Linked DNA regions of Mus musculus. The protein of the gene in region 7 purifies or fractionates together with the protein of the main gene of each other region. This does not show direct contact. Links are inferred from orthologs where the notes say so. Each region holds a gene or a part of one and is shown on either strand. Other genes may lie near its edges.

The links.
Region 1: the proteins of Cop1 (region 7) and Trib2 purify together in Homo sapiens (affinity purification with mass spectrometry; 4 studies listed by BioGRID and IntAct, counting the BioPlex papers as one, with this or other methods). This does not show direct contact. The link is inferred for Mus musculus from reciprocal best matches to the Homo sapiens genes COP1 and TRIB2.
Region 2: the proteins of Cop1 (region 7) and Trib3 purify together in Homo sapiens (affinity purification with mass spectrometry; 5 studies listed by BioGRID and IntAct, counting the BioPlex papers as one, with this or other methods). This does not show direct contact. The link is inferred for Mus musculus from reciprocal best matches to the Homo sapiens genes COP1 and TRIB3.
Region 3: the proteins of Cop1 (region 7) and Cops6 purify together in Homo sapiens (affinity purification with western blotting; 3 studies listed by BioGRID and IntAct, with this or other methods). This does not show direct contact. The link is inferred for Mus musculus from reciprocal best matches to the Homo sapiens genes COP1 and COPS6.
Region 4: the proteins of Cop1 (region 7) and Stk40 purify together in Homo sapiens (affinity purification with mass spectrometry; 3 studies listed by BioGRID and IntAct, counting the BioPlex papers as one, with this or other methods). This does not show direct contact. The link is inferred for Mus musculus from reciprocal best matches to the Homo sapiens genes COP1 and STK40.
Region 5: the proteins of Cop1 (region 7) and Etv4 purify together in Homo sapiens (affinity purification with mass spectrometry; 5 studies listed by BioGRID and IntAct, with this or other methods). This does not show direct contact. The link is inferred for Mus musculus from reciprocal best matches to the Homo sapiens genes COP1 and ETV4.
Region 6: the proteins of Cop1 (region 7) and Mvp purify together in Homo sapiens (affinity purification with mass spectrometry; 3 studies listed by BioGRID and IntAct, with this or other methods). This does not show direct contact. The link is inferred for Mus musculus from reciprocal best matches to the Homo sapiens genes COP1 and MVP.

What each region holds. Positions count from the first base shown.
Region 1 is NC_000078.6:15,792,596-15,796,593, reverse strand, and holds part of Trib2 (tribbles homolog 2), read left to right. Parts: intron 1-2,517; coding exon 2,518-2,986; 3' UTR 2,987-3,998.
Region 2 is NC_000068.7:152,336,925-152,341,060, reverse strand, and holds the end of Trib3 (tribbles homolog 3), read left to right. Parts: intron 1-1,053; coding exon 1,054-1,346; intron 1,347-2,373; coding exon 2,374-2,854; 3' UTR 2,855-3,636; downstream 3,637-4,136. UniProt on the Homo sapiens protein: Inactive protein kinase which acts as a regulator of the integrated stress response (ISR), a process for adaptation to various stress. Inhibits the transcriptional activity of DDIT3/CHOP and is involved in DDIT3/CHOP-dependent cell death during ER stress.
Region 3 is NC_000071.6:138,159,530-138,164,177, forward strand, and holds Cops6 (COP9 signalosome complex subunit 6), read left to right. Parts: upstream 1-1,572; 5' UTR 1,573-1,583; coding exon 1,584-1,653; intron 1,654-1,845; coding exon 1,846-1,968; intron 1,969-2,144; coding exon 2,145-2,276; intron 2,277-2,607; coding exon 2,608-2,696; intron 2,697-2,792; coding exon 2,793-2,855; intron 2,856-3,205; coding exon 3,206-3,253; intron 3,254-3,600; coding exon 3,601-3,715; intron 3,716-3,797; coding exon 3,798-3,890; intron 3,891-3,979; coding exon 3,980-4,080; intron 4,081-4,206; coding exon 4,207-4,347; 3' UTR 4,348-4,455; downstream 4,456-4,648. UniProt on the Homo sapiens protein: Component of the COP9 signalosome complex (CSN), a complex involved in various cellular and developmental processes.
Region 4 is NC_000070.6:126,102,493-126,107,141, forward strand, and holds the start of Stk40 (serine/threonine-protein kinase 40), read left to right. Parts: upstream 1-1,464; 5' UTR 1,465-1,654; intron 1,655-4,649. UniProt on the Homo sapiens protein: May be a negative regulator of NF-kappa-B and p53-mediated gene transcription.
Region 5 is NC_000077.6:101,768,975-101,772,504, forward strand, and holds the end of Etv4 (ETS translocation variant 4), read right to left. Parts: intron 2,982-3,530; coding exon 2,907-2,981; intron 2,784-2,906; coding exon 2,715-2,783; intron 2,527-2,714; coding exon 2,354-2,526; intron 2,097-2,353; coding exon 1,995-2,096; intron 1,617-1,994; coding exon 1,392-1,616; 3' UTR 774-1,391; downstream 1-773.
Region 6 is NC_000073.6:126,990,251-126,994,248, reverse strand, and holds part of Mvp (major vault protein), read left to right. Parts: intron 1-447; coding exon 448-729; intron 730-1,450; coding exon 1,451-1,695; intron 1,696-1,776; coding exon 1,777-1,974; intron 1,975-3,998. UniProt on the Homo sapiens protein: Required for normal vault structure. Vaults are multi-subunit structures that may act as scaffolds for proteins involved in signal transduction. Vaults may also play a role in nucleo-cytoplasmic transport.
Region 7 is NC_000067.6:159,304,992-159,308,989, forward strand, and holds part of Cop1 (E3 ubiquitin-protein ligase COP1), read left to right. Parts: intron 1-1,581; coding exon 1,582-1,725; intron 1,726-3,418; coding exon 3,419-3,527; intron 3,528-3,891; coding exon 3,892-3,973; intron 3,974-3,998. UniProt on the Homo sapiens protein: E3 ubiquitin-protein ligase that mediates ubiquitination and subsequent proteasomal degradation of target proteins.

The DNA.
Region 1 (3,998 bases), on a different chromosome or scaffold from region 7:
GAATTGTACCTCAGCAGAACATTCTAAGCAGGGGACATTATGAGTCCTCGGAGGGACTGAGTGAGACATTGCCTTTGAGGCAATCAGAAGAGTGTGTAACACAGATAGATTAGGCTCGGAGGGTAGGGACACAGACATGGGATCAATCAGCAGACATGACAAGGACACTGGCCTCTATGTGGATGACCTAGGGCACTCCTAGAGGGATTTGTAATGAGAATCCTGCCCCAACTTGAACCCTCTGTCTCCAACTTTTCCTCCTGAACTGGTAGCCATTCACACAGAAGTAGGAATTACTTCCAAGGTTACAGTTCATAGCTACATCAACTGCTCTGCTGCCGAATCAAGGAAGCTAGAGGTGGAAGGAGCTGTTGAGAGGAGCCCTGGTATATGTTACTCAGAATCCCCTCCCTCCCTCCCTCTTTTCCTCCCTCCCTCCCTGTGGCTTCATAGTCTCCTCTCTGGGCAGTTTGGAACATCTGGTGAGACCAGTGGGTGGGTCACTGCCACCTGCCACCTCCTATTAAGAGAAATAAGCTGGAGAAAGAAAGATTTGTCTTTAATCAGTTCAATTCCAGATTAACACAGCTAGAGCCTCCTTAGTTTCGTAGGCCATTAGTTTCAGGAGCATTCGAAAGCAGGCATGGGGTAGGGGTGTTGTAGAAGATGGCTCAGGGAATGCCAGAGGGAATTACATGTTGCTGTGTATTGCGGAATGTTAGATCTGGCACAGAGACAGCCTTGTGCGGGTGGGTGCATGGTGATTACTGGATATCATGAGTGAACTAAATGGATGCTCAAAAATGGTTATGATGGTGAATCGTTTAATGTAAAATTTATTGTATTAAAAGAAAAAAACAGCACCCTCAAAATAAACCATACAGAGAGAGAGAGACAGGGACAGAGACAGACAGACAGACAGACAGACACACACACACAACACAACACAGCCTTCTGCAGTATTCCTCTTTAAAGGGAGATTGAGTGACTTAGCTGGAGCTACAGCTGAAGTTGGTGAGAGATACGCCTGACTGGGAGTCTGCACCCCTAAAGACCACACTGTCTAGGAAAGCAATCAGTGCTTGATTTTTGGAACATGTTCATAGAAGATCCTAGAAGCAACCCATCTTTTGTCATCTTCTCTACTATTGAGCTCCCAGCAGCTCTCCTTAACTAGTTGCCATAGGTGACTTTTCAGACTACCTTGAGAGACTGAGATCTGTAGGTACAGAGAGTAAAAAAGGAAGAAGATGAGAGGAAGATGGTCTTGGGCTACACGCTGTGAGTGATGACCAAGGTGACCCCATTGTAGTTTGTCCAGACACTTTCTGTTGCTAATTTGAACCCTTTAGCTTATGCACTCAAGCAGGATGAAGGCCTGGATGTATGCACTGAGAGACAAGGATAAGTGATGTGAATTTATGGGTCTTTTAAGTACCCCAGAGGCCCAATTCCAGCTCCAACTGTCCTTAGCTACCATCTTAGCAGGACTCCAGGAGTGTGGTAAGAACTACCTACTCAAAGGGTTGTGCTCTGCTCTGTCTGCCTAAGAGAAAAGGGTTTTCATTTCAAACACAGGGAAGGAGTATGTTTACCAGTCTCACAAAGCCCAGGCTGGCTTCCAATTTGCTGTGTAGGTTAATCTTGAACTGCTGATCTTTGCCTCTGCCTTCCAAGTGCTGTGATTACAGGTGTGTACCACCACGCCCAGCAGCAGTTTGTTTTGCACTAATATGATTGATCTAAGAAGTCATCTTAGTTTCTAGATTTTCCATTTCCATAGTGTATATCTTTATTTCACACTCAATGATGAAGCGTGGTGTGTGTGTGTGTGTGTCATATAGGTGATGTAAGCTAGGTGTTAGGGCCAGAAATTCACATGTATTTCTCCACTCCTTCTAGCACATCTAGGGCTTGCATATTTGTATAGATAAGTTGCTGAGTTCTTGAAGAGTCGGTGGATTGGGAGGTGGGATAAATAGTTTGAGAAGACTCTTGGCAACACACTGCTATTGTCACACCCATCTACCCAGACACACAGTCACATGCGAACCATGCACCTGTAATTAGTGATAGGTGCCAGGTCAAGGACCCAAGGCTTTGGGGGTATGACAGGCGGGCCAGGGCAGGTGAAAATCTGGAAATGAAGATGGACTTGGTATTTGGATGCTAGGCTTAGATGAGTAGGTCGTGGAGACCACTTGAGCCGAAATTCTCCCTGCCTTTCTTCTTGTGTCCCAAGAAAAGTGGCGGGTACAGCTAAAGAACCCAGAAGGCAAAGTAAGGAATTCTTGTCCACGCTAGAAGGCTTCAAGAAAATTACTCAAACCCCCAGCTTCAGTATTCTGTGCTATGAGTGACATCCAGCTTGTTACAGGGATGGATGGATGGATGGATGGATGGATGGATGGATGGATGCACAAACATCAGCAACCCTGATATACCGATGGGATGGATGTGTCGATGGATGTGTCTCCCTCATCCTTAGGAGCTTCTGTCTTTGTCTCTTTCCTACAGGACTCGTGTCAAGCTGGAGAGTTTGGAAGACGCTTACATTCTCCGGGGTGATGATGACTCACTCTCTGACAAGCATGGCTGCCCAGCGTATGTCAGCCCAGAGATCTTGAACACCAGCGGCAGTTATTCGGGCAAGGCAGCGGACGTGTGGAGCCTGGGGGTAATGCTGTACACCATGTTGGTGGGGCGTTACCCTTTCCATGACATTGAGCCTAGTTCTCTTTTCAGTAAGATCCGCAGGGGCCAGTTCAACATTCCAGAAACTCTGTCTCCCAAGGCCAAGTGCCTCATCCGAAGCATCCTGCGACGGGAGCCGTCAGAGCGGCTGACCTCGCAGGAAATTCTGGACCATCCTTGGTTTTCTACAGATTTTAGTGTCTCAAATTCGGGATTTGGTGCTAAAGAGGCGTGTGACCAGCTGGTGCCAGACGTCAACATGGAGGAGAACTTGGACCCTTTCTTTAACTGAGCTCAAGGCCCAGGGACACATAGCAGGTACCAGGAGCAAGAGAGAGCCCCAGAAAGGAGTTCTGGGACACAGGTGGCCTGGCTGAGAAGCAAGACGGACATTCATATTTACACATTTCTTGGTTCAGAGAAGGAATATGTTCTAGGAGCTGACGGAACACGTAGCATGGGAACAAGACGTGTGGGATGGGGGTTGGGTTCAGATGGACGGGAGCCCCTCCCCTAAGCTTCTCTTCCCTGGGGTAGCCTGAGAGTCCCCCTTACCAGTAGGGCTATTCTACCCCACTTTTCATTTTGTTCAGAAATAGTTGCAGATCTCGATAGAATCCAAACTCTTCTGCCTCAAACACCTACCTTGGCATTGCACTGTTAGCATTTAACTTCTTGTTACGATTCAGGGAAGGGACAATTGATCGAAGATTTTTTTTTTTTTTTTGGAACAGACCAACCACCTATGTAATAATTAATAAGATTCACCTAAAAATAATAATAATTCGGTGCACACAGACTGACCTGAAACCTGGGTGCTAAACTAAAAGAAAACAAAAGTTCCAGTTGTCGTCTCTCATTCGCACTTTCCAATTCATTTCTTCTAAATAAACGATGTCCTATTCTGGTTAGGAAGTAACACATTAACGCTTTGCTCCCTGAACGGGGAGGGGGAGTCTGTTCCTCCACAGACATTTCTGTTTTGTATCAGCTGGTTTTTGTAGCAGGAAACTATCAGAAGTCAAACTTCCAGATGTATTATCACAGTTCAGGGGAAGAAGAAAGGAAAAGAAGAAAAATCCAACTCCTTTCTGGTTTTTGTTCTTTTGAAGGAAGAGGGTTCACATTGTAGACATTGCTCTCTGCTCCAAATTCAGTGAGGGGCTCCCAGAGGGCAGGCGCCTCCTGGAGTCAGATCTTTTTGATGATGCTGATCTCAACGTTTTGTTTTTGCTTTATGGGAAACTAGTAAAACGAGACAGGTTGTCCCATGTGTATAAAATACAGGGCAGCTATTTCCTTTT
Region 2 (4,136 bases), on a different chromosome or scaffold from region 7:
AGGCTGGCCTCAATGGCCTCAAACTCAGAGATCCTCCTGGCTCTGCTTCTTGAGTACTGGGGATTAGACAAATATGCTACCATGGCAGGCTCACATTTTTTTTTAAGATTTATTTATTTATTATATATAAGCACACTGTCACTATCTTCAGACACACCAAAAGAGGGCATCCGATCCTATTAGAGATGGTTGTGAGCCACCATGTAGTTGCTAGGATTTGAACGCAGGACCTCTTCCAGAGCAGACAGTGTTCTTATCCACTGAGCCATCTCTCCAGCTCACGGCTCGAACTTTTTAAAATAGGTGCTCCCTTCTAAAATACCAGCCCACACTTGCCTAGCAAAGACTGGTCCTGTGTTTGGTCTCCAAGATAGCAATATAAAATACTCTGGATTTTAGCATCTTTCTTTCTTTTTTTTTTTTTTTTTTTTTGTTTTTTTTTTTTTCGTAACAGGGTTTTTCTGTATAGCCCTGGCTGTCCTGGAACTCACTCTGTAGACCAGGCCGGCCTCGAACTCAGAAATCCTCCTGCCTCTGCCTCCCGAGTGCTGGGATTAAAGGCGTGCGCCACCACGCCCGGCTATCTTTCTTATTTCTTTGGAATATATGGTTTGGGGTTTGCTTGTGCCGTACTGTGGACACCAAGAGAACAGGGGCAATGGCTGTGAGTCTGGTCAGCTGGGCAGGGGCTGCAGACAGGCCATTGAGCTGGCTTTTCTTATGCTGGATGTGTGGGAGAAGGGGGGCTATGGTGGTGATCTGCCTCCACGAGTGGTTTTCTGTGTGGGTTACATCCTAGTTTCTGAGGCCTAAATCACACAGGGTGGCAGCTTAGAGCAGAGATTGGTGCATGGGTTCTAGTCCCAAATATGCTACTTGCTGGCCCTGTGACCCCGGGGTCTCCTGACCTGTGTGGCTTTGCGGATATTCGGTTGATATTTGGCTGTGAGTGACTTGCTAAACAAGGGCTTCTGTATGTGTAGCTCACAGCTCACAGAGTTGGCTGTCCCATTTTGCTAGGTCCCTTGTGCTTACTCCTGACTCTGTCTCCAGGTGTACCCTGCCAGCGAGGCCCAGGCGGTGCTGGCACCTTATGCCCGGCTGCCTACCCACCAGCATGTGGCCCGTCCCACAGAGGTCCTGCTGGGCTCTCGGCTCCTTTACATCTTTTTCACGAAGACCCATGGGGACTTGCACAGCCTGGTGCGCAGCCGCCGCGGTATCCCAGAGTCCGAGGCTGCCGGGCTCTTCCGGCAGATGGCTAGTGCCGTGGCACACTGCCACAAGCACGGGCTTGTCTTGCGCGACCTCAAGCTGCGTCGCTTTGTCTTCAGCAACTGTGAGAGGTGAGTGTGACCCCAGAGGCACACTTGAGAGGTAGGCCACAGTGGGGAAACTGAGATCCAGGGGAGCAGAGTAACTTAGGAAGAGCTAAGGTAAGCATAGCTTATGCTTAGCATGTGCAAGGCTCATGATCCATCCTCAGCAGCAAAAGAAGACAGGGAAAGAAACCTCCAGCACTGAGTGACCGCTGCCTGTGCCGTGAAATCTGTAGCCCTAACAACTGGGCTCGGGGGAGAGACAGGTGGGTCCCCAGAGATCACTGGCCAGCTAGTCTATTCAATTGGTGAGCTACAGGTTTAGTGAAGGACCCTGTTTCAAATTAAATAAGGACAAAAGGAATATCTTATTTTGGGGGTGGTAGCATACACCTTTAAATCCTGGCTGAGGGGAAGATAAGTGGATCTCTGTGAACTGGAGGTCAGCCGGGTCTACAGGGTGAGTTCCAGGCCAGTCAGTGCTATGTAGTGAGATCCTGTCTCAGAAAAAAAAAAGTGTGTGCTGGGGGATGGGGGAGTTGGCAAGATGACTCAGTGGGTCAGAGAGGACCCATCCACGTGATAGCTAACAACCACCTGTAAGTCCAAGTCCAAGGTATCTGACAGGCTCTTCTGGCCTTCATGGTGCCCAAACACATGAAGCAGGAAAACACCCATTTGCATAAAATATAATAAATACAAAAAGAAAGAGGCCAAGTGGTGGTGGACTTGGACCCCTGCCCTCAAGAGGCAGAGGCAGGCTGATCTCTGAGTTCAAGGTCAGCCTGGTCTACAGAGTGAGTTCCAGGACAGCCAGGGCTATATAGTGAGACCCTCACCCATCAAAACCAAAAGCAAACTAAACCAAACAAACAAAAAACTAACTGAGGCTCGGCATGGTGGCCCACACATGTAATCCCAGCACTCAGGAGGCAGAGGCATGAGGACAGTAATTAGCCCAGACTGGACAGTGTACAAGACAGAGAGTGGAGAGGAGGCTGCTATTCCAGAGGACCTGAGTGGGACCTGATTTTTTTTTCTGTCTGTGACCCAGGACGAAGCTGGTGCTGGAGAACCTGGAAGATGCCTGCGTGATGACTGGATCAGATGACTCTCTGTGGGACAAGCATGCGTGCCCTGCCTACGTGGGACCAGAGATACTCAGCTCCCGGCCATCCTACTCTGGCAAAGCGGCTGATGTCTGGAGCCTGGGTGTGGCGCTCTTCACCATGCTGGCTGGCAGATACCCATTCCACGACTCTGAGCCAGTCCTGCTCTTTGGCAAGATCCGTAGAGGGACCTTTGCCCTGCCTGAGGGCCTATCAGCCCCAGCCCGCTGTCTGATCCGCTGTCTCCTCCGCAAGGAACCTTCAGAGCGACTTGTGGCCCTGGGAATCCTCTTGCATCCCTGGTTGAGAGAGGATCACGGCCGAGTCTCTCCTCCACAGTCTGACCGAAGGGAGATGGACCAGGTGGTCCCAGATGGGCCACAGCTGGAGGAGGCTGAGGAAGGGGAGGTGGGGCTGTACGGCTAGGGCCACCTTACTGGCCCCTCAGCTCCAAGGTGTGAGTTGAGTACCTGAGTCTCAGCTTTCTCCTGACTTTTTGGGCCAAGCTAAACCTTAAGTGCCTTTCTGGAGGAAGAAACAGCCGGCGTGCCTTATTCGTTCCTGTGCCTAGTGGGGTGATGCTCCCTGAGTGCCACGCCCTGCTCTAGGTGCTGTGAACAGCAAAGGAAAAAGAGGGAGAAATATACCTTGCTGGCCAAGTTGCCACAGTGCCGCATGCTCTCCGGCCAGCCCCTGCCTTGGGCACGTTTCCTACCGGGGCTGTCTTCTCTGGTGCTGGTTCATGGGACAGTCCCTTTTATCAGTGCCCCAGCTGCCTTCTGTCTTGTGCCTTTAAACAAAGGAAACATCTCTGTGCCAAAGACCAAAGTCCTCACTCACCATGTGCCTCAGGACCACAAATCAGGCCGGGCTGGGATTGTGGCCTCCAGGCAGGAGAACCTGTTTGAAGAAGACTTGGCTGTGGGATTCAAGCCAAAAGGATGAGACTCCAATAAAGAGGCATCTGACTCAAGGAATAGTCTGGAATAAGGATCCGGGTCTGTTTACCCTGGTAGCCTCCGGCTGAAGCACCAAAGTTGGAGGGGGAGGACCAGGCAGGGTCTGTCCTACTGCCTACAGACAATCTCAGGCCCTGTTCTGGGGACTTTTAGTACCCAGGCCCACAGTCAGTTTGATGACTTTGGTCTGGTTAAGTGTGTATTTTCATCATGTGCCCAATAAAAGAGAGCTGTGTGGTTTGATATGTGAAACATCCTTGGTGACTTTCTCTTCTTCAACGCTGGCCCCACCATGAAAGCCAGGTACAGCTCAGCCCCTACCAAGTGGCTTGTGAAGAAATTCCTCTACTGATCTTCCTGTACATGCCTTTTCTTCTAGAGACCTTGGGTCTCAAGTGGGGAGCTTTCTAAGCTGAGCACTGGGGTATGGCTCACGTGTAAGCACACACCTAACATATTCAGGGTTATGGGTTCTGTCCTTGGCCCAAAAGGGCATCAGTTTAAACTGGAAGAAACATACTTTGCATAAAGACAGGTCAGTGACCAGGGTAGTTTCAGGGCAGGTCAGTCTGGCTCTCCAAGCTGTTGGCAGAATGTCTGCTTTCTTGACTCCTTCAGTCCTTGGCTGTTTTCCATGGAGATAGCTGGCACTTATGTCACATTGCACAAAGAAAAGGGGCATTGTAGCACTTATGAACCTAGCACTTGAGAGTCAGGCTGCCCCAAGTGCAATCTTTCCAGAACACAGC
Region 3 (4,648 bases), on a different chromosome or scaffold from region 7:
AGCTGATTTTCCAGTGTATTTGACATAGTTGTTACCAGATATTTTGCTGTCATAGACCCCTATGAAATGTAGATGAACCTGAAAGCATTTCCAGCGTGACAGGAAGGGAGCCCTTTCCCTAGTGGAAGGACTACTGCGAATCAGTGCAAAGCCATGATTGGTCCAAAGCACATACTTCAGTGACTGTGATTAGTAAAAAAAATAAATAAATAAAAATAAAAAGTAGCCCGGGCGGTGGTGGCGCACACCTTTAATCCCAGCACTTGGCAGATTTCTGAGTTCAAGGCCAGCCTGGTCTACAAAGTGAGTTCCAGGACAGCCAGGGCTATACAGAGAAACCCTGTCTCGAAAAACCAAAATAAAAATTTAAAAAAATGGCTGTTATTGGCCCCAAATGAATGATTGTGGACCAAATACTCTTTCTTGGCTATTTAAGCAGGTCGCTTAGCCTTAGTTATTGTCCAAGTAGGAAACGTTTTCTTTTATTTTTATTTTTATTTTTATTTTTTTTATTTTGGAACTCACTCTGTAGACCAGGCTGGCCTCGAACTCAGAAATCCGCCTGCCTCTGCCTCCCAAGTGCTGGGATTAAAGGCGTGTGCCACCATGCTGGGCAAGTAATTGTCTTTTTTTTTTTTTTTTTTTTTTGGTTTTCTTTTTTGTTACAAGTAATTGTCTTAATCACTGTTCTATTGCTGTAAAGAGACACCATGACCAAGGCAACTCTTCCCCTCCCCCCACCTTTTTTTTTTTGTTTGTGCGACAGGGTTTGTTTGTGTAGCTTTGGCTGTGATGGAACTCACTTTGTAGTCCAGGCTGGCCTTGAACTCATGAGGTCTGCCCGCCTCGATTAAAGGCTGTGATTAAAGGCGTGGGCCACAAGCCCTCCCAATAGCAGTTGCTAAGTTGTGTAAAGAGGTTGTCTTGAAACTGAAGAAGCTGAACAATTCAAGAGTAATTACTACTGGGGAGATGGCTCAGGGGATGAAGTGTTAGGACCTGAGTTTAGATCCTCAGTACATCGTTTTAAAAGCTAGGCATGCTGGGTATGGTACACACCTTTAATCTCAGCATTCAGGAAGGAGAGGAAGGCGGATCTCCTAGAAGTCTGCCTAGACGAATAGCAAGTTCCCACCAGCTGGCCAACATTGTAAGACCCTATCTCAACAAACAAGTGATCAAGTCTCTATAGATTATATGCAACATGAAAAATTTTATATCCTGAATAAATTGTCTTCCCCATTCCCTTTTACAGCCTTTCCTCCTTTTGATCGCAATTTTCTCTGTGTTTAGTATTGACAGTGTATCCACTTGAGACCTGGAAACTAATAGCCCTCCTTGGGAGGTAAAGGCAAGAGGATCAAAGTTCAAAGCCATCTTCAGATACACACTACAGAACTCATGGCCAGGCTGGTTTACATGAGAACCGCTAGCAGCAGCACAACACGCAGAGCACCCTGAGCTACTAAGTACTGGCAGCTGCCCCGCCCATTAGCAGCACCAAGTATACACTGAGCATGCACCGCTCCCCGACGGAAGCCGAGAAGGAAAGGGGCGGGCCGTGGCTGGCGGGCGCGGGGAAAATGGCGGCGGCAGCTGCGGCGGGGGCGAATGGGAGCGGAGGCAGCAGCGGCATGGAAGTGGATGCAGCAGGTAACGGGGTGCGCAGACCGACTTCTGGAGTTGCCCTTGAGAAGTGGTCTTGAGTACTTCTTAAACCTGTCCCAGGATAACTTGAGGGCAGCGATGGACGGCCGGGCTCTGCTGGTCCCCTGCTTCCATGTCTAGGGGAAAATGTGTGGGCCCGAGCTCTCAGCCGCTATGTTTTCCTTTCACCTTTAACAGTCCCCAGCGTGATGGCCTCCGGAGTGACTGGGAGTGTTTCCGTCGCTCTTCATCCCCTTGTCATCCTTAACATCTCAGACCATTGGATCCGCATGCGCTCCCAGGAGGGGCGGCCTATGCAGGGTGAGTGTTGTGTGTAAATCTCAAAATCTCTTGGAGATTTCCTCCAGTCACTCCCCTGCGCCCTTTCTTCCAAATTATTGTTTCCCCAGTCGTTGATTCACGCCGACTCGGGAAAGGTTTTCCGAGACGCCTGTTCCTCACCTAGTTTCCTTGCGCTTCTGTTTCTCTCCCCTTAGTGATTGGGGCTCTGATCGGGAAGCAGGAGGGGCGAAATATCGAAGTGATGAACTCCTTTGAGCTGCTGTCCCACACCGTGGAAGAGAAGATTATCATTGACAAAGAATATTATTACACCAAGGAGGAGCAGTGTGAGAGGGGAATAGAAGTGGGTGGGGAAGGAAAAGTGGGAAGATTTTTGTTTTGTTTTGTTTGTCTTAAAGAATAAAAGGCCTGAGGATGTAGGGCAGTGGGGTAAAGTGCATTTCCTAACATTCGGGAAGACCAGAGTTCAATCCTCAGTACCATATAACCCAGGAGATAGAGGCAAGAGGTCAGAAGTTCAAGGTTAGTTAGGTGTAGTTATTTTAAACTGACCCAAAATATGAGGAGGGAGGGGAGAACCGGAAAGAACACACCAGGCCCATCAAACTAAGGAAGAGAGGTTTAAAGGAATATTTACTCTGGCCCCTTCTTCTCCAGTTAAACAGGTTTTCAAGGAGCTGGAGTTTCTGGGTTGGTATACCACAGGGGGGCCACCTGACCCCTCAGACATCCACGTCCATAAGCAGGTATAGAAGCTCAAATATGTGCATGTTGGGGAAATGAACAGAAGGTTAGGGGAAGAGGAGATACTGACTCTTCCTGGGCTTTGCCTTATCTTCTAGGTGTGTGAGATAATTGAGAGTCCGCTCTTTCTGAAGTTGAACCCTATGACCAAGCACACAGATGTGAGTGTTGTTGACCCAATGTCCCCTTTTTCTTGATCATCTGCCACTATGCCTTTGCTCTAATTTACCGACATTATGTGTATTAGAGAAAGCTTGAGTTGAATCTCTACCCTGCTGTTTACACCCATCAGTTGTGTGACTTCATCTCTTCAGTGGTGTTTCCATATGTAATGTGTGTAAAACCTAGAGAAAGCATGAGCCAAGTGTGGTGACAACACTTGTAACCAATCTTAGCACTCAGGAGATTGAGGCAGGATTGTGAGTTCAAAGCCAGCCTGGCATGTGTGTAAGTTCAAGTGCATTTGCTTTTAGTAAGAGCTGTTCTCTTGTCTCCGTCTGTGTTTTTACAGCTTCCTGTCAGCGTTTTTGAGTCTGTCATCGATATAATCAATGGAGAGGTAATATATAACCTGCAACCTTCAAACCTTTTAGCCTGTTTCCTGCATGCCGTGTGCAGGCATAGGACAACCCTGGGTGTCCATCCTAGCTTTCTACCTTGGGACAGACTCACTTGTTTGCCAGGCAGGTTGGCCTGTGAGCTTCTGGGAATTGTGTCTCCACTTCCCATCTTGCTGTAGGGGTTCCAGGATTACAGTCACATGCTGTCACATCTCACTTAATGTGGGTTCCGAGGCTCTAAATTGAGATCCTCAGTTGTGCAGCAAGTACTCTACCTGCTGAGCCATCTGCCTAGGCCTAGGTCTGTTTCCTGACTCTCCCTATCTGAGAACTCTTTACTCTGCAGGCCACAATGCTGTTTGCTGAGCTCACTTACACTCTGGCCACTGAGGAAGCTGAACGGATCGGTGTAGACCACGTGGCCCGGATGACAGCAACAGGCAGTGGGGAGAACTCCACTGGTAAGGGAGGGGAATTCAGTCTTTGGAGGTAGGGGTTGGGTGTGGCCACAGGCCGCCCTTCATTTGCCCCATTCCCCTGCAGTGGCTGAACACCTGATAGCTCAGCATAGTGCCATCAAGATGCTGCACAGCCGTGTGAAGCTCATTTTAGAATATGTCAAGGCCTCTGAAGCAGGTAGGAGAGGTGCCTGTCACTTTGAAACATTTTTCCTCTCCTGGAAAAGTGACAGCATCCACATCAGTGCAGCCTCCTTGTGTCCTTAGGAGAGGTTCCCTTCAACCATGAGATCCTGCGGGAGGCCTATGCCCTATGTCACTGTCTTCCAGTTCTCAGCACTGACAAGTTCAAGACAGACTTTTATGATGTGAGTGTTGACACCTTTGATGGGGAGGTGGGGCTCACACCACCTCACAGGTAGGAGGTGAAACTCAAGTGTCACTGGCTAATACGAGGGACCCCTGGGGAACTGGTTCTTTGTGTTCCCTCCCAGCAATGCAATGACGTGGGGCTCATGGCCTACCTCGGCACCATCACCAAAACGTGCAACACAATGAACCAGTTTGTGAACAAGTTCAACGTCCTCTACGACCGACAAGGCATTGGCCGGCGAATGCGGGGACTGTTTTTCTGATGATGGTTCTGGAAGGGATGGTGTGTGGGGCTCAGACAGCTGTTCCATGGACCTGAGTACCACATTCCCTTTAGAGAAACTCATTAATAAAAGAGCAGCCCCTTAGCAGCCCTTCCAGTGGCTTTGTCCTCTCAGGCACCACACTGGTTTCTCAACATGGACTCTTAAGGAAGCTTCACCCATTAATCCACATTTTTTGACCACCTACCCACCTTTTAATGACTCGAGGTGACCCCTTGTTGAAGTAGACAAAATGTGATAGGACGACCTGCTTGCTTCCAGTTTTTGTGCTCTGTGATCA
Region 4 (4,649 bases), on a different chromosome or scaffold from region 7:
TAATTAGTGAACTGGAAAACCCAAGATTCATCCCTGTCAAAGGCAGGGCTTCCGGAATCCTTTTTCTCCTCACTTTGTCAGAGAGAGGAGCAAAGTGGGCCGGCCTTCTGGATGCCTGCCTTTGAGTCACGTGCCTCCTAGAGGTTCCCCGACTGAGACCAGTGGGCATCTATAGGGTGTGGTTAGCTGGATGTGAAACTCCTTGGGTCCTCCCATGGTTGGTGTAATGTGTTATCCCCACTTGGGCAGCCAGGATTTACACTGAATTACCTAGTTTGTAAGTGATACAATGGGGATTCAAGCTCTAGCCTTTTTGGAACCCACGAAACTTTCTTCAAACCACAGCCCAGCCATTATTAGCTGGGTGTCACGGCAGAGGTTACCCTCTCTCTCTGAGTGCTACCTTCTGCATTTGTTAACAGGTCTCTAAAAGTGCCTCATTTTGCATAAGACAGGGCCTTAGGAGCTGGTATCATTACTAGTTATTCAGCATTATCTGCAGCTGAATGGCCACCAAGCCAATCAAAGACATTAAGAAAGGATTCAGGCTGGGACTTCATTATGAAGACCAGCCTTCGGTGTCCTAGCAGGGCTTAGTCGTGTCCACGTGTGTCTACACGTGGATCCAGAATGACCCAGGGGAGGGAAGAGTGTCATCAAGTACACTTGTTAACTCTGAGACAAAGGAGTGGGACTATGGCCGCTGGTACTGCTGCCACCGAGCCCTTCTGGCCGCTTCTACACGGCAGTGGACGGAAGCCAGGATTTTCGAGGGCCCCCAGTGAGTCACCAGACTGATGCAATCCCTTTAAAGGGCTCATCTGCTGGTGCAAGAAGCTGATTCATGGAGGGCGTGGCTGCTGAAGGAGGAGAAAGGACGGAAACTGGCAGGAGGGAGTGAGGTAGACAGCCGGCTGAAGTCGTTCATTGGAACTCTTCACTGCAATCTCCCTGGACAAGACTCTAGGGATGTCCAAGATGAACTTGGCCATCTTTGGGGTTTCTGAAGGGCCTAAAGTGAAATGAATTGTGACAGTAGCGACAGCCAATTCTTGACTTCTCTTGTACCCAACTTCAGCACTTTCCCACACAAATTTCCAGAAGCCGAGAAATGGGGAGCAAAGAAAGACTACTTTTCTAAAGAATGCAGTGCAGTTGGCGGGTTTTGCAACCACTTAGAGACGTCCCCAACCCCAGCAAGGAGAGCATAAGTCGGTGAGGTTCTGCAGAGCCAAGGCGGACCGGCGCCTCTGTCCCAGTCCCACTGTAGATGTAGATTAGCGGTAAGTACCGCCCCCTGACTGTCCAATCACTTTACAGATTTCGACCCAGACTCCACCCAGAACCAATTGGCGATCTTATCTGGGCTTCCTGCCTGAAGGCTTCCGCCCATCCTGAAGATGGCGCACCAACCCCAAACTCAGGCGAGGGGGCGGGAGGCGGGGCCGAGAGCCTATGCGTCACTTCCGTTGTCAGGTGGCGGCGCCGCAGCCATGGAGGGAGGCGGCGGCGGCAGCTCTGGCGGCTGCGCTGGGAGGCGGCGGTGAGCGGCTCCCACGCCCCCGGCCCGGCCCCGGCCCCCGGGACGGAGCGCCGAGCAGCCCCGACTCTGGGCTGCGGACTATGGGCAAGGAGCGCTGATTCCCCGGGAAAGGTGAGTTCGGGGTCCCGGGACGCGGAGCCGGGTGGGGGCTGCGTGCTGGCGGGGCGGGCCACCGTGGCGGAGGGACCCCGGTGACAGCCCGAAGCTGACCGGCGCGACCAGAACGGCTATAGTGAATTCCCCCTCCGCCACTGGAGGTCTGTCCTTCCCGGCAGCGGGGGCGTCGGCTGCCGGGAGCCTCGGTCTTTTGCCGCAGCCCTGGGAAATGGGCACTGCTCGCCTTGCCCAGACCCACTCAACCAGTCATCGAAGCAGCCGGCGTTTGGCCCGCTCTAGTTTTTCTCCCAGAGAGACCCGCTCCTCCTCTCCATGCTTCTCTCCTGACCTAGAGAGTGACTTGAAAGTTAGAACGAGTCCCCAAGGAGAGCCAGCCAAGGTTTTCCTCCTGGAGCCCTCACCCGTTGGCACCAACACCATCGCTGCTGGGGAATTTTCACATCCTGGGCGGCGTTCAGGTGCGAGTCACAGCAACCTGCTTGCCAGATCCACGTTGGGCCGGTCTTCACCGTGGGAGAGCTTGCTGTGGTCAGTGTTTCACCTGCCATCCTGGTCAGGCCCGCCCATTCCTACGATGCTTGGCCCCACCTTTCAATCTTGGGTAGGAGCTTTCGGATTCCCGGTGGCTTCTCCGTCCACCCCCACTCCCCCAGGTTGTTGGCAGAAGGAAGAGCTGACAGCCACCTTCGGTGGCAGGATAGACTTTGCTCTGTTTTAAGTCACTGGAGGAAACCGGTTGGCTTTGCTGGTTTTGAGAATCATTGAGGAAGAGGGTAGTCACGCTGGGCTGGGCGCCTTTCCCTCTCGGCTGAGTAGTTTTGCATGAGATAAGGAAGAGCAAAATCCTATAGCCCTTATTTATAAACAACGTTGTGAGTTCCTCCTTAAAGGCCCTGTTATTTGATTGTGGATTAGACTATCTCTGCCAGAGATAGTCCCCATTCATTCATTCATTCATTCATTCATTTTTCTCATAACAAAAGGGCCCTGCCTGTAGAGCCTAGTGCTGTGTAGTATTCGTAGGCTTTGGAGGCTCACTCCTTAAAGCCTGGGATTAAAAGTGTGTGTCAACCTTGCTCTGGACTCCTTAAATTCAGATTCTGGTGCCGCTGCTTTCTGGTTGCCCGACCTTGGGTCATTTGTATTCGTCCTCATTTGCAAACCACTGGCCATGGTAAAAAGAGTCATTATGGAGAGTTGCGCTAACACCTAATAAAGAGGTTCTTATCCGAACTAGTTCACTGTCCAGCTAGAGGAAACTGACCTGCAAGCAGATAGGTGAAATGTGATCTACAAAAGCAACAGAAACTGAATGCTGAGGGAGCCCAGTGGGGAAGCTGCTAGCTCAGTCTGGGAAGCCTGAGCAGTAGTGACAGGAGGATAGTGACTGGAAGGACAGAAAGGGGGAGGGAGGCTTAGTCATGTAAAATGGGAGATGCTATTTGGAGAGAAGTACAGAGAGTCAGAGAGAGACAACCTTAGCTGTGTCAGTAGAGTGGTATGGAAGCCGACAGGGCACAAAGTAAAGCAATATAAGTTAATAAAAAAAAATGAACATCTCATGGATCATTTGGAACTTTGTGTCTAGTGCACAAGAGGCCAGTAAGCTTTTAGCTGAGGAGTGACAGGACTAGATCTGTATCTTAGATCGCATTCTCTGTGAGGAGTTGAGGAGGGTGAGAGAGCTAGACACTTCGTCAGAGACCATCACATGCTTCCAAGAAGAGAGTATAGACCTACTGGACCTGTGCTGAGAAGGCACCGTGTGGTCAGTGCTAGGTGGACAACCCCTTCAAGTGCTCCCCAAAGTGCTCTTCTCTCTCTGAGATCTCAGGTTGTTTAAGCTGCTGGCAATGGCAAGGTAGGACTTTCCTCCCAGATGTAAGGGGGGTTTCATTTTCTCTCCTGTGCCTTTAACGGAGAAGACAGTAGTTTGAAGCGGTTAAGAGCTTTTTTGGCTCAAACAGGTCTACTTCTAATCCCTGCTCAGCTAGCCAGATTTCTCACTGTAAAAAGACACAGTAGGACTTCTTCCGCAATAGGGCTGTCGTGAGGATCAAGACAGATGTTACAGAGTTAGGACTCAGCGTTCAGTGTGCAGTAGACGCTTGGTGAATGGTAGTTTTCGTGGCAAATGGCTAGAGAGCTTCTGGGACCCACTTGAAGCAATTGACAGGAGCTAGTAGAGCTGTGTCCCACGGAGCTGTTTGTTCTGAGGGGTCCCGAGAGCACGCTGCAGTTTATGTATTCTATCTGAAAAGAGAATGGGGCTTCCCCAGGCTGGACAGCGTCACTGCAGATGTGTCTCTCCCCTAAAGCCTTCTCTAGGAGCAGAAGCAGAGCTAGCCCTGGTAGTGTCGGGAGGCAGAGCAGACAGACCTCCATGAGTTCTAGTTCATGCTGGTCTATGTAGTGAGTTCTAGAACAGCTAAGGCTACATAAAGAGACCCTGTCTTAACCCTGCCCCAGCCCCCAGAAAAGCAGAACTACTGAGAAATAATATTGTTCGGCCTTGTGAGACAGGGTCTCTCTTTGTAGACCAGGGTGATTTCAAATTTGTGTCTGGGCTTACAGATTTGTGCCTCCACACTGGGCTGAGAAGTAGCATTTAAAGCATGAACTGGAGGGAATGTATGTCGTGTTCTCTGGAGTCCCCACTGATGAGCCTGCTCTGGAACCTGAGTTAGCCTCAGCAGGGAGGGTCACGCTGATGAACGTGTGCTCCACCATGCTTATGTGTGTGGTGGCTCAAGGTAGAGACTCTCTGCAGTACACCTGTGAATTTCCACGTGGGACTGCCACATGCTAGGGGCAGGGGCAAGGAAGAGGAGAGAGGGACAGGCACCCCAATCCATTAGCACGTGCACAGGTATTGGGGAGTCTTTCCCAGAAGTCTGTGCAGCATGAAGTACAGATCAAGGGAACAGAAGAAATGACCTTCCCGGGGATGAGGAATGGAGAGGGTTAGAGCGCTCTTAAGACTTTGAGG
Region 5 (3,530 bases), on a different chromosome or scaffold from region 7:
GAGTCAGTACATTGATTTCCCATGTTTCTAGGAAAGAGTGGTGCCTTTTACTTGTGGGTAGCAGTTGGGGTTCTATTGAACCTGCTTGTTTTTACCTGAGCCGAGTCCTGGAAAGCTGGCTCTAGATCCAGACTCTGTCCCTCCTTCTGTCCCTCCCGTTCCAGAGCTGCTCCTCGGTCCGTTTCCCCCACCTGGGAGTGGTCTTAGGAGAATGTCTGTCACTGCCACCCCACTAAAGAGCCTACTCGGGACCTGCTGTCACCCCCGCCCCTACAGTTGCTTGCTTTCTCCTTTTCTAGTCTCCAAACACTTGTTTCTGAGCTCAGTAAAAGCAGCAGCCTGGAGTTTGTGTAGGAGGAAGGACAAGCAGTTGGGATGAACATGGGCTCCCAGTCACTGGAGCAACTATGGTCACAGAAGCCACAGACCACGTCTTTACCCGAGGATGTTTCTAGGGACAGGCTAACCGTGGCAAGGCGTGGTCTAGAAGCCCTGCTGGGTTAAACAGTACACTCCATTATTTCTAGATCCTCACACGGTCCTAGGTTAGGTAAGAGCAGAGTTTCCAAAATCCATTTTCTAGAGGAAAACCAACGGCAAGGGATTTCCAGAAACGCAAGTGAGGGCCTGAGCTAGACTCCAGGAACAGGGCATCAGGTCCTCACGGAAGGCCTTGTAGGGGACAGACTCCAAACTCTGGTCAACTGCTGCATGGCCATAGCTCTTCCCACCCCAGGTCCTTGCCTCATGGAAGCAAAGAGCAAATAGAAACAACCGGAGAAGCAGAGGCTTTATTAAGGTCTGGCATAAGAGGCAAAGGTGGAATTAGGCCTGGGTAGGCCTAGGGCAGAGAGCCATCCCTACTCTTCCACCCAACCCCCCCCCCCAGCTGCCGCCCACATGCTCCTGCCTCCCAGAGCACAGCACCAAGAACACAGGACCCCCCTGTTCAGGGCAGAACCCAGGCAGAACTTTGTCTCCCATGGGGGGTTGGGAGAGGGGAGACACAGGGTGTTCTGAGAATCCCCTTGGCCCTGTTGCCATAATAAACAAGGGAAGTCCCTGTATGTCCCCAGAATAGAACACTGGATCTCTGTGGTGGGGGTGAGGAACTTGGCCTCTGAGCAAGACCTAGGCAGAGGCCAAGCTGAACTGAAGGTACAGGTGAGCCACAGCGAACTTCGGCTACTGCCTTTAGATTTGGCCTGCCTCCACTGTCTTTCCCGCAGACTCTGGTTAGCAGCTGAGTCTGGCCAGGAGTATCAGATGGGATAGTGGAGCTCTGACCCCAGAGACTTCTACAGGCATCAGAAAGAGGGCCTTCACCAATACCAAATCAGTTGATATATACACTGAGCAACCCCACCATGTCAAGGGGAAGCCACTGGTGCCTAGTAAGAATATCCACCTCTGTGGCCGAAGGGCGGAGCGGGGCCAGTGAGTTCTGGGAGGTAGGCAGGACTCTCATCCAAGTGGGACAAAGGGACTGTGTCCTCCTCACTGACTGGCCGGTCAAACTCAGCCTTCAGAGCTGGACGTTGATTATCTGGGAAGGCCAGAGAGAACAGGGCCTCCGGCTCGCACACAAACTTGTACACGTAGCGTTCGCCAGCCACCTGTGGAGAGAGGGTTGTCAGGCCAGACACGAACGCTCTGCCTCAGTAGAGAATTTGGAGACTTTCCCCTTCTCATGGGCCACAAATATGCACTAGGACCTCTTTGCCTCTTACACTGGTTCTTCTTGAAACCCACTCCCTTCTGGTTCTTGTTCACGTCTCATCTCAATCATAGCACACTTGGGACTATTCATTCATTGTCTAGCAACTTTACAGGGGAACCTAGGGGTTTACATTTTCTGTTCTCGAAAACCTGCTGAGAATGCCCGCCTCCCCCCCCCCCCACACACACACCCCACCTGACCTTCTCTTGACACACTTTGAACCCTTAGCCACCCCTGGCCCCTCCTTGTGGCCGTGCTAGGACCTCAGCCCAACCTTCTGCATGATGCCTTTCTCATAATAGTATCGCAGCGAGCGGCTCAGCTTGTCATAATTCATGGCTGGCCGGTTCTTCTGGATACCCCAGAGCCTGGCAACCTGGGGGACAAGAGACAAAAGGATTTGGGTGGAGATGCAATCTCAGAGGAAAAATAGCAGGGGTGGGGTGGGGAGTGGGACATTTGAGGTTCTTGGTGCGGGGACAATCTAGGCTAGTCACCAGCACAATGCTGACTCTGGCTTGGCAAGAACTGGGTCAGGCAGACTGAGGACAGTGGTGGAAGCAAGTGCCACCATTTCTCCTCTCAGGGCTCCAAAGGTGCCGGACAGGAGGGGTGGGAATACGTAAGACCTACCTCTTCAGGTTCAATTAGTTTAAACTCCATTCCCCGGCCTGTCCAAGCAATGAAATGAGCATTTGTTGGGTCATCCAGCAGGGCCACCAGAAACTGCCACAGTTGTAAGGCACCCCGGCGCTGGTAGGGTGGCCCCTCCCGGAAAGCTCCAATCCCTTCCTGCTTGATGTCTCCTGGGAAAGTGGAAATAGGTGTGATGTACATATGCCCTAACCAACTCCCCCACCCACCCATGTGGCTTCCCCAAACTCTTCCCCGAGTGTCCTGACTTCTTCCACTAATGAAATGGGATTCCTACAGGACCCAGTATGTGACAGGAGTGAAGAAGACCCTGACCCTCCTACCAAGTCACTTCTCTGACCTTCAAATTTTTCAGGGACAATGCAGACATCATCTGGGAATGGTCGAAGGGATTTTTCATAGCCATAACCTTGTGGAGGAAAGATGGGGATTGCTCAGATCTGAGGGTTCACTGTTGAAAACCCTAGAGAATGCAGAGAGACTCGTAGCCTGGGTGACTCTTTCCCCCATAGCTAGGATCCTGCTGCCTTACCCATCACTCCATCACCTGGAGAGGGTCCAGAGAAGCCCTCTGGGTGGAGGTACATTGATGCACATCCAGGGACATCTGGGGGAGGGAAGAAAAGGTGACATTGTAAGTGGCTGAGGTGAAGCAGGGGAGGAAGGCCTGTACACATTCAAGGAGTTGGTGCTGCTAGCCTGCAATCCAGTGACCATCCTTTTCCCGCCACTAAATCCCAGGGGAAGTTCACCCAGAGGGAGCTGCAAGCTGAGGCCCTCAGTTTGAGGGCAGGGGCAGAGGGTATGGGTGGCAGCAGCTGGGGCCAGGCAGGCTGTTCTCAAGGCCCAAGATTCCAGGGAGCAGCTGTTTTCCTGTGAGTTCAGGGGAAGGAGGGGGTGAGAGATGAATCTCCGGGGGTTGGGAAGGGTTTGCCTAAGACTTCCTCGGAATGGGCACATGTCCGGTCGTCAGGTCAGGTTCCAAGCCTAGTACCTCCATGCCTTTGTGTGTGTGTGTGAGACAGAGAGAGAGAGAGAGAAAGAGAGAGAAGAGTTGGGGTGGAGGTGGGGGATGTATCTATTTAAAGAAGAGGCAGTGGGCTCTGGTCTGTTTTTTTCCTCAGGTATAAGCAGGTTCTACTGTGTTCCACGCCAT
Region 6 (3,998 bases), on a different chromosome or scaffold from region 7:
ACCCGTGTCTAGTGTATTCTCTCTACAACCTATCTCTGTAAAAGGCTCCCATTAAACCTCCTTTTTTGCTTTCTGCGCTGCTCTCTCTTAAGTAGCCTCTCATTTTTTTCTCTGTTCTTGTAAGGGTTGGGCATATCCTGTTCTGTCAAATCCTTCTCTGAGTGTCTGCCATTTAGTTAGATGTCACTTTCAAACATGGGTGCTTCCTTGTACAAACTAACTCTACTGTCGTTGTTTAGGATTAAAGGTGTGTTTTAAGGGCATGTCTGTATTTCAGCCCGAGTAGCTATATTGCTGGATTAAAATCCCTCTACACAGTATGGGAATGGGAAAGTGCCACCAGAAGACCTGGCTCAAGGTCATGCAATAGTGGCAAGCCAGGAGGCTATATTGAGGCAGTATGGCCAGAGAGACACCATGACCTAACATCCCCTTTTTTCCCACTAGGGAGAGAAGTCCTTTTTCCTCCAGCCAGGAGAAAGGCTGGAACGAGGCATCCAGGATGTGTACGTGCTGTCAGAGCAGCAGGGGCTCCTGCTGAAGGCGCTGCAGCCCCTGGAGGAGGGGGAGGGGGAGGAGAAGGTCGCCCACCAGGCTGGAGACCGCTGGCTCATCCGAGGGCCCCTGGAGTATGTGCCATCTGCCAAAGTGGAGGTGGTGGAAGAGCGTCAGGCTATCCCTCTGGACCAAAATGAGGGCATCTATGTTCAGGATGTCAAGACGGGAAAGGTACCAGCTGTGGGATGGGAGGTACCGGTGGTGGCTTCCTCTGGGCAAGCAGGTAGAGTTGATGGAGAGAGGCAGGTTGGGAGAAGACTCATACAGCAGCAGCCAGGTGGCCATGCCATACTCCATTTGTCATCTTTGTCCTAAATACCTAATTTTACATTTCAGAGACTCCAGCTGAGAGGATGGGCTAGGCTTTAGGACAGGAGTTCTGCCCTGATGCAGATGTGGTCCGAGCATAAAGGTCTTGGTGGACTTTTGCTGCTTCACCTAAACCTTGACCTTGGTTTTACTTGGGGTGACACTGCCAACTTTCCCCCTGAGACTCTAATGTAGAAACAATTCAGAGCCAGAGGCAGCACTCGTGTATATAAGGCGCTTCCTAGGATCACAGCTGAAGTTCTGATGCACACCACATTGCTTCAGCAAAGGAAAACCCTAGAAATAATACCAGGCACTTACTACATACCAAGTGTGGTTCTTTGAATTAGACGTGTGAGCCCTTCCTCATTCTGAAACCCCAGATGGCCCATTGTACAGATGAGCAAGTGAGGCATGAGCAATAGCTTGAGAAAAAGCGAGCAGACGGCAACCAAGCTGGAATGCAGTCTTCCTGCAGACACCTGCTTTAACCAGGACACTGTGCTAGCCCTGGGCAGGGTGGGCTCAGGGCTGAAAGGATGATGGTTCTCCCTCCTGCCCTCTCTGAAAATGCCTCCCCTAGGTGCGGGCTGTGATTGGAAGCACCTACATGCTGACTCAGGATGAAGTCCTGTGGGAAAAGGAACTGCCTTCTGGAGTGGAGGAGCTGCTGAACTTGGGGCATGACCCTCTGGCTGACAGGGGTCAGAAGGGCACAGCCAAGGTCCTTCAGCCCTCAGCTGCAAGGAACAAGACCCGAGTGGTCAGCTACCGTGTCCCCCACAACGCAGCGGTGCAGGTGTACGACTACAGAGCCAAGAGAGCCCGGTGAGCCAGCAGAGGCCTCTGCGGGGTCCCGGGGTCCCCAGGGAAGCTCTCAGGGCGGCTGACTTCCAGCTCTCTCCACAGTGTGGTCTTTGGGCCTGAGCTAGTGTCACTGGATCCCGAGGAGCAGTTCACAGTGTTGTCCCTTTCTGCTGGGCGACCCAAGCGTCCTCATGCCCGTCGTGCACTCTGCCTGCTGCTGGGACCTGATTTCTTCACTGACGTCATCACCATCGAAACTGCAGATCATGCCAGGCTGCAGCTGCAGCTGGCTTACAACTGGTGAGGCTGGGGGCTGCGGGGGGGGGGGGGGGCAGCCTCAGAAACAGAGGAGGGCCCCCAACTCAGACAGAAGGCAGGCCTTGATGCCCTAGCCCACCTCTGTCGTTTATTACTGCAAGGTTTGTTTTGGTTTTGATTTTGGTTGGTTTGTTTGTTTGTTTGAGACAAGGTTTGTCTACGGGCCTGGATATCCTGAAACATACTCTGTAGACCAGGGCTGCCTCAAACTCACAGCGATTTACCTGCCTCTGCCTCCCCAGTGCTCAGATTAAAGGGGTATAGCACCACTCCCGGTTTCTGCAAGATTTTTTTTATTTTTATTTTTATTTATTTTTTAAAAGATTTATTTATTATTATACATAAGTACACTGTAGCTGTCTTCAGACACACCAGAAGTGGGTGTCAGATCTCATTACAGATGGTTGTGAGCCACCATGTGGTTCTGGGATTTGAACTCAGGACCTTCGGAAGAGCAGTCAGTGCTCTTACCCACTGAGCCATCTCCACAGCCCTTTTTTTTTTTTTAACACCAAGAAAACACTTTAATCAAACTGCAGAAACAATGGTTATAGTACAGAATATCCATAAGCAAAAGATACACCATGTTTTAAGTACTTACAAAGTTACAAACCATTTGCTTCCTTAACATTTTGATTTTTTTTAAAAGTTCACAACACAAGGATGATCAGATTTACCATTTTGCATTTTTTGAGGGAAGGGGGGTATATTTATCATCAGCTAGATGTGCTCACTGTATGCTCCATTATTTATATGCAAGAGTTTTTTCACAACCTATGTGCATGAGCAGTGTGAATAAGTGGTCAGAGCACCTGCCCCAGAACGCACTGCTGGGTCCTGTCCCAGCTGTGCTGTGTGCTGTCTGGGGACCTGCACAGGGAACGTTGTGTTTTCTTCCTTTCCCCTAGATGGAAAATGAAGATCACCTACTTCACGGGGTGCTGAGAGACTTTAATGAAATAGTGAAATACTGAGGTGCTGGGGGCAGGAGAGTAACTTTTCTTCAGTGATGTAGCCACCCATAAATTACCCATACTCTAGTGAATAACCCTGCCCGATGCTCATGCAAACAGCCCTAGTTAAACTCAGTGGGTCATTTTTCTAAAGCCATGGAGCTAGGAGCAAGGTTGGGAACAAAGGGTCCATGGGAGGGAGAGGAGGATAACAGAAGGAAATTGGGCATGATCAAAATACATTATATATGTTAAATATATATAATGTATATATAAATACATGTACATATATTATATATGTGTGTATATATGTGTGTGTATATATATATGTGTGTGTATACACATATATACATGTATATTATATATAATATAAATACATATGTGACATATATGTGTATATATGCATTATATTTGTTTATATATTTATATGTATGTATACATACATTTATATATTTATATACATATATACATACACATATATATGTATGTATGAGATTATGAGATAATAAATAAAAAACTATTTTTCAAAAGAGCAAGCAGGGCCCATGAAGTGCACTGAGCACCACCTGGCAGCCTGCGCTCCCCCCAGACCCCACGGAAAGGTGGAGAGAGGAAACTAACTCCATCGGAGCCCATGGCAGTGCCCCTCCACACTATGTAGGCAAACACACACAATAAGATTTTTTTTTTAAAAAATTAATGGCCCAAAGCTGGGCAATGTTGGTACATGGTTTTTAAATCCAGCACTTGGGAGGCAGAGGCAGGCCTGAGTTTGAGGCCAGCCTGGTCTACAGAATGAGGTCTACAGAGATAGCCAAGGCTATACAGAGAAACCCACAGCACATGGCTGTAATCCCAGCTCTCCAGAGGTAGAAGGAGGATCAGGTATTCAAGGCCAGAGTCCTCTGAAAGAGCTCAAAGCCAGCCTGGGTCTCTAGTGTGAGGAGGTTCACCAGTGTCTGGGCCTGTTCCAAGTTCCTCACCTTGTGGTGGAGAAGAGCTAGCTAGTACTGTGACTGAGGTAGACGGGGTGCTGGCCTAGTGACAGTTAAG
Region 7 (3,998 bases):
CTAAATTATCTGAGTTAAAGATCAGATTTCAGTTCCAATAGATGCCATTTACCAGTAGTGTCTTTGTCATACTTTCTCTGCTGTGATAAATAACCATGGCCAAACGCAACTTGAGGAGGAAAGGATTTATTTCCATTTATGGTTCCACAGCATAGTCTATTATTAAGGGGAAGTTAAGTCAGGAACTCAAATACTGCAGGAAGCTGGAAGCCAGAACTGATGCAGAGGCCTTGGAGAAGTGGTGTTTACAGTCTTGCTCTCTATAGCTTGCTCAGCCTGCTTTCTTAGTGCACTGAGAACCACAATGGGTTGAGCCCTCTCATATCAATCAGTAATTAAGAAAATGAATTTCACGCTTGCCTACAGGCCAATCTCGTGAGGCCATTTTGTCAGTTGAGATTCTCCATGTCAAAGAAATTGCTTGGGTTAAGTTGTTATAAAACTAACCAGCACAAGTACCATTGCATTGTCAGTTGTGTGTGTGGGGGGGGGGGAGGGAGGGGGGGGGAATAGTAATTAGTGGCATCATCTCTGAAGCCAGACTACCTGATAATTAAAATATCATTTCAAATCACTTAAAAGTCAGCTACCTTTGAACAGATCACTTTACTGTAATCCTCATTATTCTAAAAATGTTGATAATAGTAATAACTTTCTCATATGGTAGTTAGGAGAAATAGTGATTATTTCAGTGAGAATTTCTCTAGGAAAAACACTTAATTTATATGGAGAAGTATTGAATATGGAGGTTCATTCCAACTTTCACCTGCATTAGGCAATTTAGATTTCTGGCCTGTATGATAAGTATGGAGGCTGTAGTTACATTCTACAAAAGTGAATAGGATCTTGTATTTTGCACTGAAGTAGCTTATTTTGAAATTTGTGTTTCAAAGAAGCTACAAGAGCATAGTGGATTCCCTAAGTCCTGTAAAAGGTGCAGAGGGTTTTTTTATATTCTCTGTTTGTGTAAAAAGGGATATGCCGTGACTTTTTGTAATTCAGAGAGATAGTATTTGTTTGGGGAATAAGGAATAGACTTGAGGTAGAGTAATGATAACTTAGTTCCTTTTTTTGAGAATAGTCTGTCCCTTTGTCACCAATGACAAGAATTTATGAAAAAAATTTATTGGTAATTTTCTTTCAACACTCATAATATTTCAAACTATTAAAGGTTTCCATACTAGGATGTAATATGGTTATTAAAGCTAAACTGAAAAACAGGCTGGGTGTCTTGTAACAAAAGTTCATGTTGACAGTTACAGATCTATACAGTTCTCTGACACTTGTAATTCAGTATCTTGATGACTTAATTCTGATCATGTCACCTAGTGAGACTTAAAGATATTGAAGAAGCTGTCTTATTTGGAGGAATAGAAGCTCTTTAAAAAGGGAAAATGTCAGCTGGAGACACAGCTCAGGGGTATCATATTTGTCTAGTGTACATATGTGCCCTAAGTTTAAGCTTCAGCACTAGGGAAATAGGGAAAAAAAAAGTAAAATGCAGAAAATTTGCTGTAGATAATATCACAGGGTTGGATACATAGCCTCATAGATGACATGTGTGCTCTCCTTCCCCTTTAGTATTGAGTTTGACCGGGATTGTGACTATTTTGCAATTGCTGGAGTTACAAAGAAGATTAAAGTCTATGAGTATGGCACAGTCATCCAGGATGCAGTGGATATTCATTACCCTGAGAATGAAATGACCTGCAATTCCAAAATCAGGTATTTCTCTTTTTTTCTTGGCATAAAGTCGTACACATATAGCTGTTCATATTAGTGCTAAGTATGACATTATTGTATATTTTTTTCCATGAGACTTTCTCATTCAGAGAGCATGCTTTGGTTGTATATAGAGAGGATACTTTGTGTGAAACAGTTTGTGTACATTTAGCCAGCAGAATTGGTGCTCTAACTCTTGTGAATTCTGAGTATTCATTGTATTAAGAAGTCGAATCCAAGGTATATGTGTTTATATGTGTGTTCTAATATGAGTGATAAACTAGTATCATGTTCTTTTTTATTTACTAATTCATACACAGCAGTTTGAGAGCCCGCCCATTTATAGTGGCTTCATACTTGAGATTTTTTTTATATTCCTAAGTAGAGACTACATTGCAAAAATGAATTTCTTAAATGCTTATGTGTTAGGCATTGTCTTAAGTGCTCTTAACAGTTATCTGACATGGTTACCATTATTACCCACACTTACAGTTGAATTGCACTAAAACCAAAAATAAATAGCTTGCCTGGGATAATCTAGCTAATATGTAGAGCGGTGCAGAGTGAGGGAGTTTAATTCTAGAGTCTGTGCTCTTTAAATCCCTTTGTACATATTTATAGCATATAGCCATTGCAGTAAGATTAGTTGTATAACATTGTACTTTAAAATGTTATAGTAATAAACTAAGCAGAATACTTGGTTCATTTTAGTATTCATAGTCAGCATAAAGGAAAATGTAATAAGTTTTAAGTGTTGCTACTGCCTGTTTTATCATGGGCACATGTGCAAATGAATAGTGCTTTATGGCACATTCCAGTAAATGCCTGAAATTGCTCAAGGCCAAAACCTACAGGCTGAAAAGACCAATACCTAAGCACAACTAACAGAGCTGTCCAGTTTGATTTCACCGGTTATGAAATACACTAAGTTAACCAGAGCTGCAGCTATTAAATACCAGATCTGAAATTAGAGTGCAGGTTTGTCGGAATCCATAGTGGAAAACTGAGTTTATTTTAAAATGCAGATGATCCCCTCCCAATCCCTAAAATTTGCCATAAATACAATGGAGTGCAAAATACATTCTTGGATGTTAACTGCTTTTCTTAGTGCTTTATTCGGTAATCCACACATTTTAGTGTGCATGATTTAACTCTATATGTCACAACAATAGCTTATTGCTTTAGATGCAGACTTTTAGAGAATAGCTAAAATCATAAATGTTAAAGCTTTAAATCTGTGGCATGATTTTAATTGGAATTTCAATCATACATTGCATTGGTCAAGACCCTTTGAATGTAAAACTGAAATCCAATTCAGACTCATTAGTTTAGCTTCATGATTTGGCACAGCTGAATATTGGGGCTCAACAGTTTTTAATATCTGTCATTCTGTCGTACCATTCTCTGAGCCATCATTGTCGTTAACAGTTACCCTTTCACATGTTACAGAGGTGATCAGTAGCAACTCTCAGCTCTGTCTGTCATCCTCTGTGATCTTAGTAAAAAGTGGTAAACTTCAGCGTTTGATTGTTTACTATCAATCAGAAAATCTAGATATTCCTAACATCTCTTTCTGAATTATGTGAAGTGATAGAGACCATTTGAAGAGTGTTTATCTTCCTGAACACACTGAAATGCATTTTGCCCCAGTGTTACTTATTTACATCTTAAAGGTTTAGTTTTTTCTTTTGTTCAGCTGTATCAGTTGGAGTAGTTACCATAAGAACCTGCTAGCCAGCAGTGATTATGAAGGCACTGTTATACTATGGGATGGATTCACAGGACAGAGGTCAAAGGTCTATCAGGTAAATATGGATACTAACTATATATTTAAAAATTATATTTTTGTTTTCTTAATTTAAGGTATTTATATGCTTTATAATTAAATTTTTTCAACCACTATTTAATATTTTTATACTTAAGATAATTGTGTTTGTACCAAATGCTTTTCTAAAGAATTTCTCATATGTTATTTTTAGAATGTATCAAATACATTTACAGAAGAATTAATGTCAGTAAATATGAGGCTTTCCTCCAGTGTCTTTGCTTTTTATTTGATTGCAGTTTGTTTCACCACCCCATGTCAATAAATTGTTTCTCCTCTCTCCCTCCCCCGCCCCCGTCACTTCCCCACCCCACTCCCACCCCTGGTCTTTCTTTCACATCAAGGAGCATGAAAAAAGGTGTTGGAGTGTTGACTTTAATCTGATGGATCCTAAACTTCTGGCTTCAGGTTCTGATGATGCAAAAGGTACTACTCGTTGCTATTTTCCCTT